2 linked regions of the Kluyveromyces lactis genome follow. The protein of the gene in region 2 purifies or fractionates together with the protein of the main gene of each other region. This does not show direct contact. Links are inferred from orthologs where the notes say so. Each region holds a gene or a part of one and is shown on either strand. Other genes may lie near its edges. The genes, in order: RSC9 and RSC58.

Region 1 (4,006 bases), on a different chromosome or scaffold from region 2:
CCACAATATGATTCACTGTTACGAAAGCATGACCAAAGGAAAGGAATTTTCACAAGACTTGAAGTTGAACTTTGGCATTAAGATGGAAATTACCCAACAAATTCTCAACAATATTGAAGATTCTATGCAATTTCTTGATTTAAATGATACTTCTATTATAGAGAACTATTACTCCAAACTCGAAAACTACATGAGATTCAGGGGTTATCTTAAAACAATAACTTTCACCGAAGACCAAATGTTGCAGTTGCTCAATATATGGCAAAAAATTAACCCAATTTTGGTTGACAATTTGTTCAACAACATCGTCGAATCAGTATGTTTGAACAACGCTGTAAAGGTTATAAACTTCAATGATAATGGTTCTTTTAACGTTAGCAAGACCTCGCTAATGGTACTTTTAGATTCCATTTCTGCCATTTACAAATCTGAAGGCTTATCTGATCATCATTCTAAAGTGGAGAGTTTCAAAGATATTATAGATTCTTCCATGCACTAAACAACTTTCTGCTGATGTTACCTTATTCTTACTATACTTCTATCATACTTTCCATGAACAATCTGTCTCATGAAGAAAGTTTTATTTATTTATTATTTGATGAGTTTTACGATTATTATGACAAAAATGGGTTTACGCTGATCCATTCGATACAAAATTCTGATATTGTCAGAATTGCTATCATCTATTTTTTATTTTGTTTCACCATTTTTAATTCAATTTTATACATTAGTTAGGTCTCCCGTTGTTTAATTTTTACCTTTAATCGATACGTTATACATTTAATTATTACAAAACTACAACTTTAATTACTCTATCGGCCTAACGGTAAGTTCAACCTGAATGTATGAAGTCCAAAAGAACAGTATTTAAAGGTGGCACGTCAGCAATTTGATGTAATATCAAAGGTTTCATATCATGAATAAATTGTGCCACGATCTCGGTACTATCGTTAGAAACAAGTGAAAGGAATGACGCACTTGCTTTAGATACATCAGAAAGATTCTCGGGGAAAACAATATCTGGCAAACAAATTTGAACTGCTTCCGATGGAGTATTGTTGCTTTCAAATTCATCCGGGGTTTCAGTCTGTATAGGCGAGGACTGGTCAATATCTTTATTTGCCTCTACGATTGAAAGAGCTTTTCTGCGAGGCTGTATACCTCTTATTACAAATTTTTTCTTCGACGTTGCTTCATCTACAACTACCAAAGCGGATGCACCGGGCAAAGCATTCGAAACATTTTTAATGAAATCAACGGCAGTTATCAATTTTCGATCTGTTAGTTTTACTTGTTCGCTGAATGTTTGTTCATAAGTTTTCCATAGAAGAATCTGTGTTACTTCGCCATTCAGAGATCTCTCAAAGCAGCATCTCAACCAGGAAGTGGCACGCATTGGTTCGTTTAGCTCAAATAATTCCTTGAGCAGTGGCATTGGCAATTCAGGCGCGTGTGCTGGTGGTTGAGGTTTTACCCTCTGTATAAGTTTGATATTAGTATTCGAAAGGGCATGATAATCAGGGGTTGATACATGATACGTGAGGAGAACAGGGAGAGTACTAACTAGGATATCATATCTTTCCTTATGTGATAGTAATGTCTTTATTCTCTGATGACCAGGTAATATATATTGATAAAGGAAATCTAATGAAGCAATTATTAACTCTTCATCCCTATCAATTAAAAGGTTATGAACAATCTTGTTCAACAAACTATCATCCAAATTATCTGCTGCACTCTTTTGGTCCGATTTAGATCTCACCAAGAGTCTAGATAATGATCTCAAAATTGAGATCACGCAGTATCTATCCTTTGTATCACGAAATATCAAACAGAGGTTTTGGAAATATAGATCGTCTTTTTTTGCTGGTGCAATATAAGATGAAATCGCCTCCATTAAATCAAGAGTATAGATTAACAATTCGTTGAAACTGGATGTATGTGACTGATAGATTGCCGAATCCTTCGAATTGAACGTATTTGCCCACTCCAACACGAACAATATGAACGATTTCAATTCCATATCGGTGGCTAATATCGAAGTGTTTTCCGAGTCCTGTGCCAAATTTCTCAAAAGAAGCATTGTAATTGAACCTTTTTGTAGGGCTTCAAAAGCCTGATTGGAAATTGGGCCAACAAGCTGTGGAATGTATTCTCTGCATGCTGTAATCAAGGGCATAATAATGGGCAACAAATCCAAATTCTCATTCAATTTGATAACATAAGAAGCGTTAATGCTATACCGTAAATATCTTTTCAATGCAAATTTAACTTCTTCGTCTATTCCACTTAACAATGCCATCTTCATACGGGTGAGATCATCAACACCAATCTTAGAGTTTACAGGCAAATGATTGAAGATAGGCAAACTGCCTAATGATTGTTGCAACCCAGCAACAGGCTTAGCGGTAATACCATTGGTCTGGTCTCTGCTAATATTTAATTGTGTTGCGGGCAATGTCTTCAAGCTTGGAATCGCTGTTTCTCCTTCAGCATTGATCACCGGAGTGACTGAATGGCTGGACATCTATTGATTTGTGAAGCACTAGGTATCACACAAAACTAGAAAAAAGCGAGTCTCCGAAAGAAGGTGTGTTTAAGGTATCTAGATCGCCGATATAGGTACAAAGAAAGTAAGCTCCATCTAATTAGTCGCGTTTTCCTTTTCTGTCATTGTACATATTAAGAAGTCCATCTCGAATCTTTCGTTGTTTTGCATGTTGTTGAATTTCGAGTTCAATAATACGGCTTATATCCGGGTAAATGATTACATAAATGCTCTCCGTACATAGTAACAAGGACAGATTAAAGACTATATGCTGTTGCTTAGTGATTCTAATCATAGTTCTGACAGTTAGGTTTATCCTCTTTATGAACACTGACTATCCCCTCTGTGACAGCCTAAGTCCTTTTCAAATGGTTATGGGAACAACGAGTTTAAATTCACCTCCCTGGCAATTGACGTTGATCATGTGACCGAAAAGTGGTAATTCCACGCTAAGGAACGGATCATCAACCGATGATTCAGTGTAATCTCAACATCAAATCGACTCAAACGACCCATTGATTCTCTTCCTTCTTTTCCATTTCTGCCCTGATTCAAACACATTCTAATTACCTAATTAGTTTCCTAGACCCTAACTCCCCCAGAGTTATCACTCTCAGTGATCTGATCTGATTACTTACTCATACATACATCAAAGCAAATTCCACACATCACGGCGTCCGGAAGAATTTTTACCTTAAGGCACAATACAAATGGTGGCATTGCCATCTGCAATTTTAAGACACAGTCGTCCTTTTGCATCGTTTCTTGCTGCCATTAGCAAACCGCAAAAGTCATTTCTTTAACATTAGCAAAAAGACGTCTTTAGAATCCAAAAAATAAGGGAAAAAGGTAACGGGTTAGCGAACATCATAACTGACGCTATTGTGAGCTTGGCTAGACCATGCGTGAGTATATCCATGTCACCCTACCCCTTATTATAAGTGTGTAGAGCTATTATTTGGAACTAAGTGTGGCCATCGATTTTTACAACTTAGTGTGATGCATTGTCACTGTCAACTAGAAGTTTGTTCTGGCAATTCCCATTCTATATATATATATATATATATATATATATCAACAAACGTGGAACACTTTCTCTTGCTTAACAACTGGCATTTTTAGGCTTAGGTATATTTGTATAGGATATCATTTAAAGTGTCTGTTATTAATAAGATTTATTGACATAGCTTATTACACAGAATAACAATATTAATACGCAGGATGAAGCTTAGTAGTGCTTTGATATTTTGTGCAGCTGCTTGCCAAGTAGTTATTTGCAACAATCTATTTGAAAATTGGTCTAGTCAAGACATTATTCAATATTTGAAGGACACTGGTGACTCTGCTAAAAAGGATGCAGACACTTCACTTGAAGAATTGAAGGCTTACGCTAGTCAGAAATGGTCTGAGCATGCGCAACCAAAACCGTGGTGGAAAGTCTGGCCGGATGAAAGGGAT
Region 2 (3,897 bases):
CAATAAAGCTCTTACAACACCTAGGTGCACTCGACAGTAATGAAAGAATCACTGATGATGGTAAAGCAATGAGTTTGTTTCCGCTAAGTCCAAGATTTTCTAAAATGCTGCTTGTTGGTAATGAAAGCGACTGTTTGAAATATGTTGTTACCATTGTCAGTGCCCTTTCAGTAGGTGAGCCGTTTTTATCTGAACAAGAGCTTGGTATCATGGATACTGTGCCCAAGACACAAGATGAAGGACAATTAGATGACTATCCTGATCACGAAGCTGAGGAAAGAAAAAGGCTATTGCGCTCCAAGTATGTTAAAAGCAAAATTAGATTTAGTAAGCTTGATAAATTCAGTGATGTTTTCCGTCTTTTAAGTGCAGTATCTGCGTTGGATTTCATTCCAAAGGATCAGCACAGTTCTTTCATGGAAAAAAATTTCTTAAGGGCAAAAACCGTAGAGGAGATTATGAAGTTGAGAAAGCAGGTGATGTTCATCATCAGGTCAGTTACTTCGAGAGAAAATGTAGCTGTAAATGTTAAAGACGAAGACTTGAAGAGCTCGATCCCCACCGATGTTCAAATCAAATTACTCAAGCAAATGATCACAGCAGGATTTATCGACCAGGTGGCCGTTCGCGCAGACCAGTTATTCCCGGAAGACGTTACTATCAACAAAACCAACATTTTCAATATCCCTTATGTTCCAGTCCTTGCTGAGAAAACATCTTCTTTGGATGATATCTTTGTTTATATTCATCCAACCTCAATTCTCAACAATTCTGGCGAGCAACCTCCGAAATACTTGGTTTTCCAATCACTACATGTCAATAAAAATAATGAAAAGGCGAAAACAAGGATGAAGTCTCTTTGTGACATTAAAAGCACGCCATTGGCTAACGTTGCAAGAAAGGGCTCGTTACTCACTTACGGAAAACCAATCACTGGACAAGGTTTGAAACCTATTGATTTATCGCCAACAGAAAGATTCTGCTATGTTGTTCCTAGATTTGGATCTTGCAATGATAGCGACATCAAGATTGGTTGGGAACTCAATCCTATCCCTGTTCATCAAGAGAAAGAGAAAGGTGTATGGACGGTCAAGAAATTCCTTACTCCAAAAGCATTTAAAAACTATCAAGCTTCGAAAAGACCCTAGAACTACACCAGTACAATTTATAGAATTAATTAACTCATATAATACCAATTGCATTGGAATAATTAAAGGCCAATACCTAGCTTGTTAGGCTATGACTGGGTACTGTTGCTGTGACAGGAATCTCTGTAAAAGCTGTCAATGGATGCCAGTTGGATCATGATGTACGGTTTTGATGTTTTTCATAATGAAAACACAGGTTTTGGCGCAGGTTGATCAATAAAGGCTTCTTACATTACTGCTGAATGACAAACTGATGGGCAGTGAGAGAGTACAAGGTCTGCAAACTCTTTTATAGTGGGCTAAAAATAAGTAAACAATGGTAGAGCTGCTAAAAGAGAATTTTTTTCAGAACTTACTAACTGTTTTAAAAGGGTATGTGAATATAAAAACAACACATTTTTCATTCGAATTATGTTGCATTCGCACATGTTTTTGTCTAGAATCGGTGATAATAATAAATTAAAGACCAGCATACGATGACCTGGGGTTCCTCAAGTCTTTATTTTATGTTTTCAGTGTTAGATTTGCCAAAGCATGATTTTATTTTACAATCAAATACTAACAGTATTAATTTTATTTTGATTTAATTAGTGCATCTTCGAAATGCAGAGCTTTAGATGAAAGGTTTCCTAAAGAATTCTACGAGCCTGATCCAACACACATATACGATTCTTACGTGAAGTTTCTAAGGGCCAAGTTTGATGAAAATCCAGATATCAAAATAGCAGAAGATATTGATTCAATTTCCATATCTGATAAATTTGCTAGTGGAGATTACCAGAAGCATGAAGATTCTGTTTATCGGATTTACCATGATATTAAATTAGTATGCTCCATTTTAATTCACTACTACTCTCAAGGAACGAGGTCGTACCAAATGGTCGACAAATTCTACAAATTTGCAGCAGAATTGATTCTAAGGGAATGTTATAGAGTTGGAGCCAAACTGGTGGGAGACTTCGCGGCAGACATTGACTTCAAAGAAAGTGATTTTTCAAAAACCATTTCCAATGATTTCCTTAAAATTAGTCAAGTTTATCAGCTCCCCGTTACTGAAACTTACCATACGCAGACAAAGGAGGGACATTTGTTCAGTTCGGTGATAACGAGGTCAGTACTTGATCAGAGGCCAAAGGAAGTACCATACGAGGAATGTGAAATTGTGAAAATTATTCCTCAAGCAACATCCCAACCAGCCAATAGATTGGGATTCGTAGCAGCTAACACTTCCAATGTTCCTGATCCAACAATTTCTCCTACAGAAATCATGACCTCCTTTCTGCATCCGAATTGGTACCCGCTACCCACTACTAAATGGTTGGAGTATGGCGACTATCAATCTTTTGCTCCGAGTATCTCGGAGTTCAAGTCTGTAACAGATTGTTCCCGTAAAGGAGACATATGGTTGGAAAAGGTCGGATACAAAAGCTGGTTAGAAATAGAATCGAAGAAGAGAGGGGCTGCGGAAGCAGAAGATAAAAATGTTGAAGATGAAAAAATAAAGGATGAGGGTATTGAAGATCAAAAGGTTGAGGAAGCAAATGACAGTATCGGATCTGACAACCAAAAAAAGGAATCAAATGAAAATGATGAAGAGCAGAATGTTGCCACGGATGAAGAGCAAGATACAAATGAGGAGGGAGATGAAGTAATAGTGACAACGGAGCCAGCTGGACCTGTCAATATTAATTTGAAAAATCTTTATGACTGGCAACCTAGCCATGAGATACATGATGAAGATATAACGGCTTTTGAGCAAGGTGAACAGCAAAGGTTATTGACAGAGATATTGCTAAAGCTAAAGGCATGTAAATCGAGAAGGGTCAAGCTGAACAAGATATCAAAACCAACAAGTGAGGAAGTTTCCCTTTATCATAGAGCACAGAACATCTTGAAAGAAGCTCTACTTTCTAAACAGATTGTGACATCTCCAAAATTGCACGAGAAACATTTCCCAGTCCTTCAGACTAATTATGCCGGATCAGTTCCTGTCGTCAAGACCATATCGACTAGAAAAAAGAAAAGTAAGAAAGTTATGCAGTGAAGTAGATATTTCCGTATAGAATCTATAAATCGCAGCTGTGGTAGTGTGCAATAATCTGTGGGGCTAGTTTATTATCAGTGATAGCTAACGGTTACTATTATTTGGAGTTATTTTCTGAAACCATCAGTGTTTCGATTTTTTTACTTCCTCAATTACTTTCGAAGGTAAATGTCCAAGAACAATTAAAGATTATATAAAGAACAAAGAAATTAACCACAACAAAGGTACAAGAGAAGAGATCAACAAAGCAGATCCAATAAGTACAATTTACGAATTGATTATAGATTAAACAGAATCCATCAAAACTATATAAAATGCCTACTTAGACTTAAAAATGCACGTCCGCTCCCATGAGGTATGAAAATACAAGATAACAATTCAATGAACCAATTGTCAACCATATAACAAATGAACTGATGCTCAACAGTCTTCCATTGGTGTAGTCAATGGACTTAACGCCTTTCGATAATAATCTACTTTCTTCAGTACTGTCTGCAGATGCGGGTGCAGAATCCACATCCACAACGGTCATAATTTTATGATTCATAGTGAAGTAAATCAAAGGAGCAGAAACGATTGGTAAAATCAATGAGAGAACCACTTGACTCAAGTTTAGAATACTAGATACCCCCTTTTCTCCCAAGAAAGCCGTAACTAAGAAACAGGGTACGATGGCTATCAACCTTGTCAATAGACGAGTCACCC

Evidence for each region.
Region 1: the proteins of RSC58 (region 2) and RSC9 purify together in Saccharomyces cerevisiae (affinity purification with mass spectrometry, with the first as the bait; 5 studies listed by BioGRID). This does not show direct contact. The link is inferred for Kluyveromyces lactis from reciprocal best matches to the Saccharomyces cerevisiae genes RSC58 and RSC9.

The regions. Positions count from the first base shown.
Region 1 is NC_006040.1:880,670-884,675, reverse strand, and holds RSC9 (Rsc9p), read right to left. Parts: upstream 2,528-4,006; coding exon 833-2,527; downstream 1-832. Other genes in the region: RPM2 (ribonuclease P), read left to right, coding at 1-499; double-strand break repair enhancer MSC1, read left to right, coding at 3,770-4,006.
Region 2 is NC_006042.1:1,593,332-1,597,228, reverse strand, and holds RSC58 (Rsc58p), read left to right. Parts: upstream 1-1,464; coding exon 1,465-1,520; intron 1,521-1,739; coding exon 1,740-3,192; downstream 3,193-3,897. Other genes in the region: ATP-dependent RNA helicase ECM16, read left to right, coding at 1-1,148; putative divalent metal ion transporter SMF3, read right to left, coding at 3,521-3,897. UniProt on the Saccharomyces cerevisiae protein: Component of the chromatin structure-remodeling complex (RSC), which is involved in transcription regulation and nucleosome positioning. RSC is responsible for the transfer of a histone octamer from a nucleosome core particle to naked DNA.